3 linked regions of the Xenopus tropicalis genome follow. The protein of the gene in region 2 purifies or fractionates together with the protein of the main gene of each other region. This does not show direct contact. Links are inferred from orthologs where the notes say so. Each region holds a gene or a part of one and is shown on either strand. Other genes may lie near its edges.

What was found.
Region 1: the proteins of ago4 (region 2) and tnrc6a purify together in Homo sapiens (co-immunoprecipitation; 4 studies listed by BioGRID and IntAct, with this or other methods). This does not show direct contact. The link is inferred for Xenopus tropicalis from reciprocal best matches to the Homo sapiens genes AGO4 and TNRC6A.
Region 3: the proteins of ago4 (region 2) and tnrc6b purify together in Homo sapiens (co-immunoprecipitation; 3 studies listed by BioGRID and IntAct, with this or other methods). This does not show direct contact. The link is inferred for Xenopus tropicalis from reciprocal best matches to the Homo sapiens genes AGO4 and TNRC6B.

What each region holds. Positions count from the first base shown.
Region 1 is NC_030685.2:20,149,125-20,152,779, forward strand, and holds part of tnrc6a (trinucleotide repeat-containing gene 6A protein), read left to right. Parts: intron 1-214; coding exon 215-373; intron 374-920; coding exon 921-1,061; intron 1,062-1,172; coding exon 1,173-1,280; intron 1,281-1,956; coding exon 1,957-2,175; intron 2,176-2,626; coding exon 2,627-2,697; intron 2,698-2,771; coding exon 2,772-2,911; intron 2,912-3,655.
Region 2 is NC_030678.2:81,877,626-81,881,280, reverse strand, and holds part of ago4 (protein argonaute-4), read right to left. Parts: intron 3,222-3,655; coding exon 2,906-3,221; intron 2,503-2,905; coding exon 2,368-2,502; intron 2,191-2,367; coding exon 2,089-2,190; intron 1,388-2,088; coding exon 1,188-1,387; intron 1-1,187.
Region 3 is NC_030680.2:121,719,998-121,723,652, forward strand, and holds part of tnrc6b (trinucleotide repeat-containing gene 6B protein), read left to right. Parts: coding exon 1-101; intron 102-1,003; coding exon 1,004-1,178; intron 1,179-2,088; coding exon 2,089-2,223; intron 2,224-2,372; coding exon 2,373-2,549; intron 2,550-3,029; coding exon 3,030-3,176; intron 3,177-3,274; coding exon 3,275-3,358; intron 3,359-3,655.

The sequences.
Region 1 (3,655 bases), on a different chromosome or scaffold from region 2:
ATGGAAATTCCATGGGTTCTCTAGTCCTGACTCATGAAACTGTGTAGCAGAAGTCAGTTCTATTGCAGGTTTGTTAATCAGTCATCCTTTGTCTCTAATTATGCAAACTCTGTAGCGGCATCCAGATGTTTTTCCAAAATCTGACACAGAGCAGATATTCCCTGCCTCGACCATTACAGTAATAATCTTGTGTGTTTGCAATTTCTTGCCCTAGGTGCTATTTCAAGTGGTTTCAGGCTTGAAGATTCTCCTTTTGGTTCTTATGACTTTATGAACAGCAGTAACTCTCCATCCAGCCCTCCAGGATCTATTGGGGATGGCTGGCCTAGTGCCAAATCGCCAAATGGCTCCAGCAGTGTCAACTGGCCCCCTGGTAAGCAAAACCCCTGATATTAACTTCATTTTTGTTTGAGTTCCGTGGTCTACAGCTGTAGCTCTTTACACTGTTCTGTGTAGAAAGACTTAAGGCAGTCTGAAATGTTGCATTTGTCTAGAGGCTCTTGCAGCGTTGTAATAGACTTTTTAGCATATATTGTGGTGGATGGTGCTCTGCTTCTGGACTTGTAAAATATGAAAACAAGTCATTAGGAAAACATTTTCAAATCGGCAAGTTCTGGCCATACACTGTAGGGTTGAATGTTATGGCAGCCTTATGCCCGAAAGGTATCTGCCCAGTTTTCAGCAGATTGGGCAGGCTGTCATAGGGCACCATGCTTGGATGGGTAAGCTTCTGGTTTGCTTTGATGGGCTGGGTTGGCAGCGTTTTTGGGCCCTTGTGTGGTCACCATTATCCTCAGGGATGTCCCTAAAGAAGTCCTGCCGTTTTTTTTTTAACAATATAGACCTACGTTTTTGGATTGTGCATATAACAACCTGTTTCAGTAGGATTTTTTTAAAGTTTTACCGTCTGATATTTTTAGAATTCCGTCCGGGTGAGCCATGGAAAGGATATCCAAACATTGACCCAGAAACTGACCCTTATGTCACTCCTGGCAGTGTCATCAACAATTTGTCAATTAATACTGTGCGGGGTGTTGACCACCTCAGGGACAGAAACAGTGGTATGTATCTCTGAATTCTGCAGCTGGGTTTTGTTTTTGCCAAAGCCCTCCCTTGCTCTCAGGGTCACTTCTATAAAAATTAATGCACACAATTAATATTGTGCTTTTTAGGGTCATCCTCATCTTTGAACACCACGCTGCCTTCAACTAGTGCCTGGTCCTCCATTCGTGCCTCCAACTACAGTGTCTCCCACAGCAGTACAGCACAAAGCACTTCAGGTAAGATGTCCGAGTACTTTCTATGCCGTTTGAATTGCTGCCTGTGTGCATGAAAACAATCCCAGAAACACCTGCTGCTATACCCCCAGAATGAACAGTTTATATTATGTTAAGTGGCCTATTAAAGAATCTTCCCAAACTGGAATAAATATCAGTAAATTTTGGCCTTTTACATCTTTTCCCCTGAGCCGCCATTTAGTGATGGGCTGAGTGCTCCCTCAGAGATCAGCTGACAGGAAATAATGCAGCTCTAACTTTAACAGGAAGTAATTTTGAAGCAAAAGGCAGAACTCTGTCCATTCATTGGCTGATGTGGCCTAGCATGTATGTGTGCCTTGGCTTGTTTATGTGCACTGTGAATCCTATGATCCCAGGGGGCGGCCCTTAGTACTTAAAATGGCAAGTTTCTATTTAGGATTACCCAATAGCACACACTACTAAAGTATATTTTTATGAAAATGATTTATTTAGCTGAAGCAGGGTTTTACATATGAGCTTGTTTATGCAGTGTATTTTTATAGACCTACACTGTTTGGGGGGTATAGTTTCCTTTAATGAAAACACTTCTGATTTATCTGGGAAACCTGCAGGGCCTTTGTTTTCCATATCAATCAGAGCACAGGCCCTGACAGGTTTAGTAACACATAGTATATCACATTCTTATTTCTCTTTACAGTAAGAAACAGTGACCCCAAACCTGCTTGGTCTCCTGGTTCCGTCGCTAACACTTCTCTGGCTCATGAACTGTGGAAAGTCCCTTTGCCATCTAAAAACATCAGTGCTCCGTCCAGGCCTCCCCCAGGGCTGACTGGTCAGAAGCCACCTTTATCCACCTGGGATACCAACTCCCTGCGTCTTGGTGGGTGGGGAAGTTCTGACTCAAGATACACACCAGGCAAGTGCCCCTCGCTTAGTACCTGCTGATACATGCATTGTTCAGTGAAATGCCCATCCTGGCTTCAATTCCTGATAGTGTGTTCCCCCTGCCACCTGTGTGCATTATGATCTTTTCTGACTGACTAGTCCTTCAGTGACAGATTTCTGTAGCCTTTGCTATCTTGTAGGAGAATAGCACTGTTACAATGTGATAAGAAAAGTGATGACCATGGCCTCTTTATAGAAACTAGGTAACAGGGAGATGTTAAATGTACAGACACAATTTTAAGCCGCATATTGATAATACATGTAAGCATCCATAGTGATTTCTTTCTGTGCTGCTTGCTCTGGTAATTCTTTTTCCTTTCTGCACCTGTTTCATTACTGATCTACCAGTGGTATAAGAAATACATTCATGCACCAGAACCTTGCTCCGGTTGGTTCTAACTCTATACTTGTGTCCTTGCTAGGTTCTACCTGGAGTGAAAACAGCTCAGGGAGAATAACAAATTGGCTCGTTCTGAAAAACCTAACACCTCAGGTCAGTGGGGTTTTGTACTATATAGGTTTCATGTACTCCTGGCAGGCTGTGTTCTAACTCAAGTTCTCTTGCAGATTGATGGCTCTACTCTGCGTACTTTGTGCATGCAGCATGGGCCTTTGATAACATTCCACCTGAACCTGCCCCATGGTACTGCTCTTGTCCGTTACAGTTCCAAGGAAGAGGTAGTGAAGGCACAAAAGTCTCTGCACATGTAAGTTTGTTGTGTAATACTGTACGAAATTCACTAGCACATTCTCATGGATTATATTGTAACAATAATTCACTTCTAACTCCATAGTTCAGATGTTGGCACTAATGTCTTTTTGCCAAACTGCAACTTCCCTTAGGGGAAAGGGTAAGCCAGGACCAATGGTGCAACCCTGCAACTGATCCAATAGTGGCTGATGTGTTAGGCTCACTTGGTTGGCTGGGTTCCCAATAAGAATAGCTTTGATTTGCCTATGCACATTCTACCTCATCTAGTTGATCTGATCTTTCAGATCTACAGATTGGTCACATTGGGATACATTTGCAGTACTGTCATTGGCCCACTGTATTTTCCACCTGGCTAATTCAAAACGGAGTCCAAAAGTGAATCTGCTGGACAAAAGTAATAATTTATGTCCCATACAAGGAAACTAAAAACTAGGTGCGAAGGGGTTAACACGTTACCAAGATGTCTGTGTGTTGGTTTAGCAACCAAAGTGAAACGGCCATCCACTCCAGTTCAATTGAGGGAAATACAAATTAGCAGTTTGTGTCATCAGTGAGCATTGGGAGCCCCATAGAGGCTTAGTACTTTAAAAATGCACTTTGTGATCCGCCCACTATCTCTCTTCAAATTACATATCTAGGCGTTTAAATTACTCTTCAATCATTTTATGATACCAATATCCTTACATTGATTACTTTATTTTTTTAATTTATTTTGAAATTGAACTCTTGGCAAGTGCTT
Region 2 (3,655 bases):
AATTGGATTCAAGTTGGTGATTGACTGGGCCATTCAAGCAGCATTATTTTCTTTCTCTGAAACCAATTGAGAGATTCCTTGGCTGTGTGTTTGGGATCATTGTCTTGCTAAAATGTCCACCCTTGTTTCATCTTCGGCATCCTGGTAGATGGCAGCAGATTCTTCAAGAATGTCTCTGTACATTTCTCCATTCATCTTCCTTCAATTATATGAAGTCTGCCAGTACCATATGCTAAGAAAACAACCCCATACCATGATGTTGCTACCTCCAACTTCACTGTTGGTATGGTTTTCTCCGCCAAACATGGTGTCTGCAATGACATCCAAAGGGTTCAATTTTGGTCTCATCTGACCAGACTATATATTTTCCCAGAATTTCATTGGCTTGTCCAAATGTTGTGCAGCAAACCTTAAACGAGCTTCAACATGCTTTTTCTTCAGCAATAGATTCTTACACGGTGAGCACTCATAACTGGTTGAGTGCATTACTTATTGTTTTCTTTGAAACAACTGTACCTGCTAATTCAAGGTCTTCCTGAAGTGCTCCTTGAGTGATCCTTGCCTCTTAGACAACTCTTCTGATTATTTTTTTTGACTCCTGTCAGAAATACTGAGCGGAGCACCTGGTCGTGGATGATTTGGAATGAATTGCTGTTCTTTCCACTTCTGGATTATGGCTCCAATGGTGCTCACTGGAACAATCAGAAGCTTAGAAATACACCTGTAACCAATGCCATCAGTATGTTTTTCAACAATAAGGTTGCAAAAGTCTCGAGAGAGCTCTTTGCTTTTACCTATCATGGCATGCTCCTTGAGTGATAACTTGGTAATGAGATATTTTTACAGGCCATCAATTAGGACTAAACCAGCTGATATAAATTTGCACTGATAGGGGGCAGGATTGCTTTCTAAATACTGACAGATTTAAGCAGGTTTCTTGGACCTCCTTCATGTGTTCAATACTTATTCCCTGGGTCATTCAACTTTATTATTACACATAACTTAATCTAAAGACTTGTTTATTTGTATGTGTGGATTACTTGGGTTGTTAAAGACATATGGTGTAAATTTATGTCAATAGCCCCATTAGAAATAGATTTACTGAGAAAAATGTTGACATGTTCAATACTTATTTTCCCTGCTGTACATAAGTACATATTCAATTCCAATTGAAACTAGAGTCTTACCTGTCGTGATCCTTATCCACAAGATGATACCTTGCTCTAAATGCAACGAGTCGAGCATAGTAGGCAGGGGCAGGGATCGAAACAGATCGTGTGCAACGCACATATGTGTGACACAGCTGGTAGGTAAGCAGTTGGAGTTCATCAGCAGTGAAGCAGTTATCATCCCAGAGAACCTGGTAATGAGATGGACGACTTGTTCCCTAGAGGTAGAGAGTATTAAGTACACAAGATTAATCAATTTTAAGCAGCTGTACCATTTCAAAGTTATGACCAATCTGTTCAGATACCCAGACAACATTTTTGTGTTATACACCAGAGCCACTATAAAGCCCATTTTACTATAGGGAAAATGCCACACAGTGATGTTCATACAAATGTGCATATTCAGGCCAAAAACCATCCTGTACAAGAGGTGTCACATGGCTTCCATTAAAGTCAATGAGGGGTGGCAGGTATGGCTTTGGGTGCTTCTTCCCCGGAGGAGAAACTTTTAATTAGCCTTTAATTTTAAGCTCCGGTACACGTGTTTCTATTGTTTGTTCAAGTTTAAAATCAGTAAGAGTTGTGAAATACAACAAAGTTATATCTCATAAAACTGGAACTTTATATCATCCAATATTTTTGTACCACAATTACTCAACACAAGAGACAGATTAAGCTCATGGCACACACACAGCGCTTTGGGTCCCTGCTTTCAGAAAGAATAGGGGTAGTCAGAATTCATTTCCCAACCTGCAGAATGGGAAAATGTGCTGCATATGGTTTATGGCATTTCATGCTGATGTTAAATGGGAAATTTGTGACAAAGAATATTTGGGACATTTTTACCTCTATGGCTCTATAAAAAGAACTTTAGCCAAGACAGATAGTATGGTAGCTAAACAACATGCATTTGCAGTACCTGAATCCCAGCATGACTACAGAGATAGAAATCAAACTCTGATGGATGTGTTATTGTGCTGTCAACAGTAGTTCCTGCTGGCACATTGCCACTCTTTCCAACCTATGAGAAATATATAGTTTGCATTAGAAAAGAAAATACAAAAATCCTGCAGATGTTTAACCACCAGCATGCAGCAAGTGTTTTTGGAAGAGAATAAGAACAGAAACAGTATTTTTGGGAAAAAAAAACAAAAACAAAATTTCAGAAATACATTATTTAGCATTAAGAGTGACGTACCCTTTCTGTTTTGTCAGCGCAAAAAAGCCTTGTATGATGCCTTTTTTGTACAACAATGTATGTTATTCCAGGCCTGTAATCTTCTTCCAAGCTGATGCAGGCCTTTCGAATAGCCATAAGCTCAGGCCATGCCACCTGAATAGGATAGGTAAAAGTAGAAGTTTTTCATTTATGAGAAGCATTTTTGATTGGAATGTTACATCTAGGACTTGATGTCGCCCTGCTTTGCAGAGAATCTGTGTATTGCACTGTGGAAAGCAGAGGGAGAACCACAATCCAAGGAGAAGCTGCACTACACCATGAGCATAAAAATGGAAATAACTTTTTAATTCCTTTTTAATATGACAAGTCCAGTACATATGTAAAAAAAATAAGATAGTGTGCATGCACTGTTTCTACATAAGACCAACCAAATAAGCTAATGTCGAAATTTTCCCTTAAAAGTCAAAGGCAGGACTGTGTCGCATTCACCAATATACCCGTTTATATAAAATATAAATAGCATGAGTGTAAGCTGCAAACATCTGTACTCACTCACCTGTTTCATTTGACCTTCAGAAACACCTCCTCTATAATAGATAATTCTAGTGGGTTTGAACCGAGTTGACTTGTAGAACTGAATAAGCAGTTCCCGAACCATGTTGCTAAGGTCTTGAATAACTTCCTGGCTGTACAGCAGCTCTTGGGTTGTCTCTTGGCGCGAGGTCTGAACACGCACAGTGGCACAGTAGCGGCTGGGATGCCCATCCATGCTGCCCACTACAGCTGCAATGGAAGGTTTCTTGCCATCCCCAGCAGGGGGGTGTGTTACATCTGCTCCCAGAAATATAACAGGCTGTTGAAACACTGAAGGTCTGCAGTAAAAATAATTTACATTTAACAAGTAAATATCAAATTTAAATAACGCAAGAAAATACACTTGTTAATGCTATGTAAACAAATTAAAAAAAGTTGGTAAAAAGTTCCAGTTGGCCAAATATTAGACCACATTAGTAAGACCGCTGCCCCAAAATAATTTCAGATGACGTTTAAAAGAAAAGGTATTACTTGTATAGGTATTGTGTTGGTTTTAAATGAATTCTTTCCTTCACACCTAAATGCCAATATTTATTAAAAAAAAATAATGAAGCATACAATAGATCACTGTACAGGAATAGGACCCGTTATCAGGAATGCTCGGGACCAACAGTGTTCCAGATAAGGGGTCTTTATAAAACATTAATTAAACCCAATAGGATTATTTAACTGGTTTGAAAACAAAGTTTATTTTTAAAAATTACCCCGAGCA
Region 3 (3,655 bases), on a different chromosome or scaffold from region 2:
TGCAACAACAACAACAGCAGCAACAGCAGCAGCAGCAGCAGCAACTCCTTCAGAACCAGAGGAAGATCTCACAAGCGGTCAGACAGCAGCAGGAACAGCAGGTAAGAGGCGGCACTACATTCACAACTGCCATTCCCCATAATACAGAAACGGCTGGTCTATCTTGTCTTTTTATTGATTTTGGTTTTCTTTTAAGCTTAATAGGTTTCATTATTTTTATGCCACATGTCTGTTATTTTACTAAGTTAGTCCCCAACACATGTGGCAAAAGGCTTTTACATGTATTTATTACTTTTTTTGTCCCTTATATTACCTTTCAGCATTGCCCCTCTCAATATCTGTCTCTTGGTTCTGTTCATATCCTGCGTCGTTATCTTCTGAGCTGGTTAATTCCTTTTGTATATTTAAAGGACAAGGAAAGGCTAAGTCCACTTGGGGGTGCCAAAATGTTAGGCACCCTCAAGTGACTTAAATCATTTACTTTGTACCCCGGGCTGGTGCCCCTGTTAGGAGAAAACAGCACCAGCCCGGGGTACCTGTAGAGAGCTCTTCCTCCTTCCTATTCGCTCGCTAGCCAATTGTCCCGGACAAACGCATGCGCAGTAGAAAAGACAACTTCTCTTTTAAAGTTCGGCTTTTCCGTCTACTGCGCATGCACACGCGATCGATCAGGAAGGAGGAAGCGCTCGCTGCTTCCCCGGGCTGGTGCTGTTCTCTTTGTACAGGGGCACCAGCCCGGGGTAGAAGGTAAGCGATTAAAGCCTAACATTTTGGCACCCCCAAGTGACTTTGCCTTTCCTTCTCCTTTAAATATTTTTTACATTTGTTTGTATAGCCCCTTTTTTGCCACTCTGCTTTTAAGGTAGATTGAAATGTACAATCTAGGTCTCTAAAAGCTATTTTATACCTGAATTTTCTTTTCTCGTATTCAAACAACCATGATGATCTGCTTGGCATTTTAAGCAATTTTGGTGATTTACCTTTTGTGCCTTCTATTTCCCAGCAGATAGCACGCATGGTAAGTGCCCTACAACAGCAGCAACAGCAACAGCAGCAGCAGCAACAGAGGCAGCCAGGAATGAAGCACTCTCCCTCTCACCCTGCTGGACCCAAAGGTCACTTAGATGCTGTTGGACTCTCAGACATGCAAGCCAAAGGGCACATGCCATATGGATCTGGTAAGCCCTTGATCGTGACTTGTTTGTTTAATTCTGAAATATATAGAATGCTTGACACAGAGTACCAAACCCTTTCCAGCCCTCTCTCCCCAGAATGTTTACAAATAAATTCTCACTCTTCTGCCCAAGAGCAACAGAGATTTATATGTAGTAATAGAGGACGCAGACCCCATGGTCCAGCCCCACCTTCTCTTGTGACTGTGGAGTCTGCTTCCTTTATTTTAAAGCCTCTTTACAGCAGTAGTGAAGCTACCCTTTCAAATCTCCTTACATATCTCTAGGGTAATTCTTTTGTTATGAAGGTGCCTTGCAACTGTAGGTGTTCAGGGTGAAAACACACATAGCTACTAGTAGCAGCTATTTTTTCACGGCTACTAATTGCCAGAAAATATCCTGCCATAGACAATACTGAGAATTGCCTCTGCTAAAACACATGTAGAGATTGTTATCAGTAAATGTCTATTTAAGTAGCCACATCAAGTAGCTGCTACTAGTAGCTCCATGTGTCTTCCTTAGTGCTCACCAAGAAAACACATGGTTGCCAACAAAGGTGAGGGTTTTGGCTACAGAAAGGCACAGAATACAGCAGCCCCTTGACTAGGGTTAAAATCCTGAATACTTTTTAGTTAATAGTTGCATTTGTACTTTACTAATCAGGATTTAGGGACAATATTTTTCTCTGTTACCATTCATAGGTGGAGTTGCTAAATTGCTTAACTTATTTTCCAGAAACCTTCAACAATCTAGTGGTCAGAAATAGTCTTCGATTGTGCTTTTGTAGGTGTAAATACTGTATGCTGTAGGCTGCATAGTAGCTTTCACTGACCCTGGCAAGCATACATTTCCATACAAAATATTTTGTAGATGCAGTAGAATATGATAAATACAATGTGTTTCTTTTGGTTTTCAGGTTTTGGCTCAAGTGGGATGGATTATGGTACAGTAGGTAAGGAGGCGGGAGCAGAGTCTCGATTTAAACAGTGGACATCCATGATGGAGGGGCTACCGTCCACTGTTTCTCAAGATACCAGCCTGCATAAAAATGGTGAGTGGCTAAAAAACTGCACAATTTGTCCCTTATCTTCTAATAAATATTTGTGGTTAGGACAGTTTTATTTTGTGTGAATAATAGTGAAGAATATGGGCACCGCACAGATCACCTCACTACATTTTTTTTGTCTTTCTTGTTACCAGGCTCCATTGCACCCCCAGTAAAAAATCGTGGAGGTTCCCCCTACCACCAATATGACATGTTGTCTACGGATGCTTTGGGAGGGCATGGGGGGCCAACAGCTGAGAGCTGGTTACCTGCCAAATCACCCCCTTCAAGCAAAATTGGAAACAAGTCAATCAATGCCAGCTGGCCCCCAGGTCAGTCATGAATTGCCAGAAACTTACCACATGCACATTTATGTTATGTTTCTTGATTTATATGTTTTTTTTTAATTTTATGTCTGCTACATTCCATATATTTCATTCAGGTAAGGCTAAAGAGCTCTACTAGTTACCCGAGCTTACAGTTTAACTGAGAATTTTCCTTACTCTAGTTTGTTTCTATGTAGCCTTGCTGCCTTTGAACACTTGTGTAGAGCAAATACTGTGTACTGTGTTTGAGGAAATTCTCTGGGTCCTTGCGTTTAGTAGGGATAAGAGTCCTGACTTGCATTCCCTAAAAGTTATGTATTGTTGCTAATGGGCGATTAGCAACTATATTCACTCACTCTTAAGTAAAATTTTAACTTTGGCCTTCAGTGGTTCTTTTAAGTTTCTGGTGATTTGAGCCAAAGCTGTTTGTCTTGGCTTCAGCGTCACACTGTTTGTTTTAACAATGTGTCTCTAATCTTATTGTAGAGTTTCAGCCAGGAGTGCCATGGAAAGGGATCCAAAATATTGATCCAGAATCTGATCCTTATGTTACCCCTGGCAGTGTGCTTGGGGGTCCAGCCCCATCTCCCATTGTAGATACTGACCACCAGCTACTGCAGGACACCCCCACAGGTAAATTTTATTATGTTATTATTTATTTGATATTTTCCTTACTGCATTATATATGTACATTTTAGAGTACTAAGTGACAATCTGATGCTGTCTTTTAGGGTCCAATTCTTCCCTCAACACCTCGCTGCCTTCACCTGGTGCCTGGCCCTTTAGTGCCTCTGAGAATATCCATAGCACTTCAGGTAAAGGCTGTATGAACAAATAACAGATAAGCAGTCATCGTTAGGGGTGGGCAACCTGTAGCCCATCAGATGTGGTTAAACAGTCTTTGGCTGTCAATGGGATTTTGAGATCTGTAGTTAAATAACATCTAGTGTCAGATATTCACATTACTTTTAGCTAGTGATTTTTCCTATCTTAGACTCATCATTGTAAATGTTTCCCTATGGTGAGGTTTCATGTTACCAGCTTTAACCTTCCTTATATAGTGGTGCATTCACTTTTGTGTCTTACAAGAGAACTTGTTTTTGCTCTGTAAA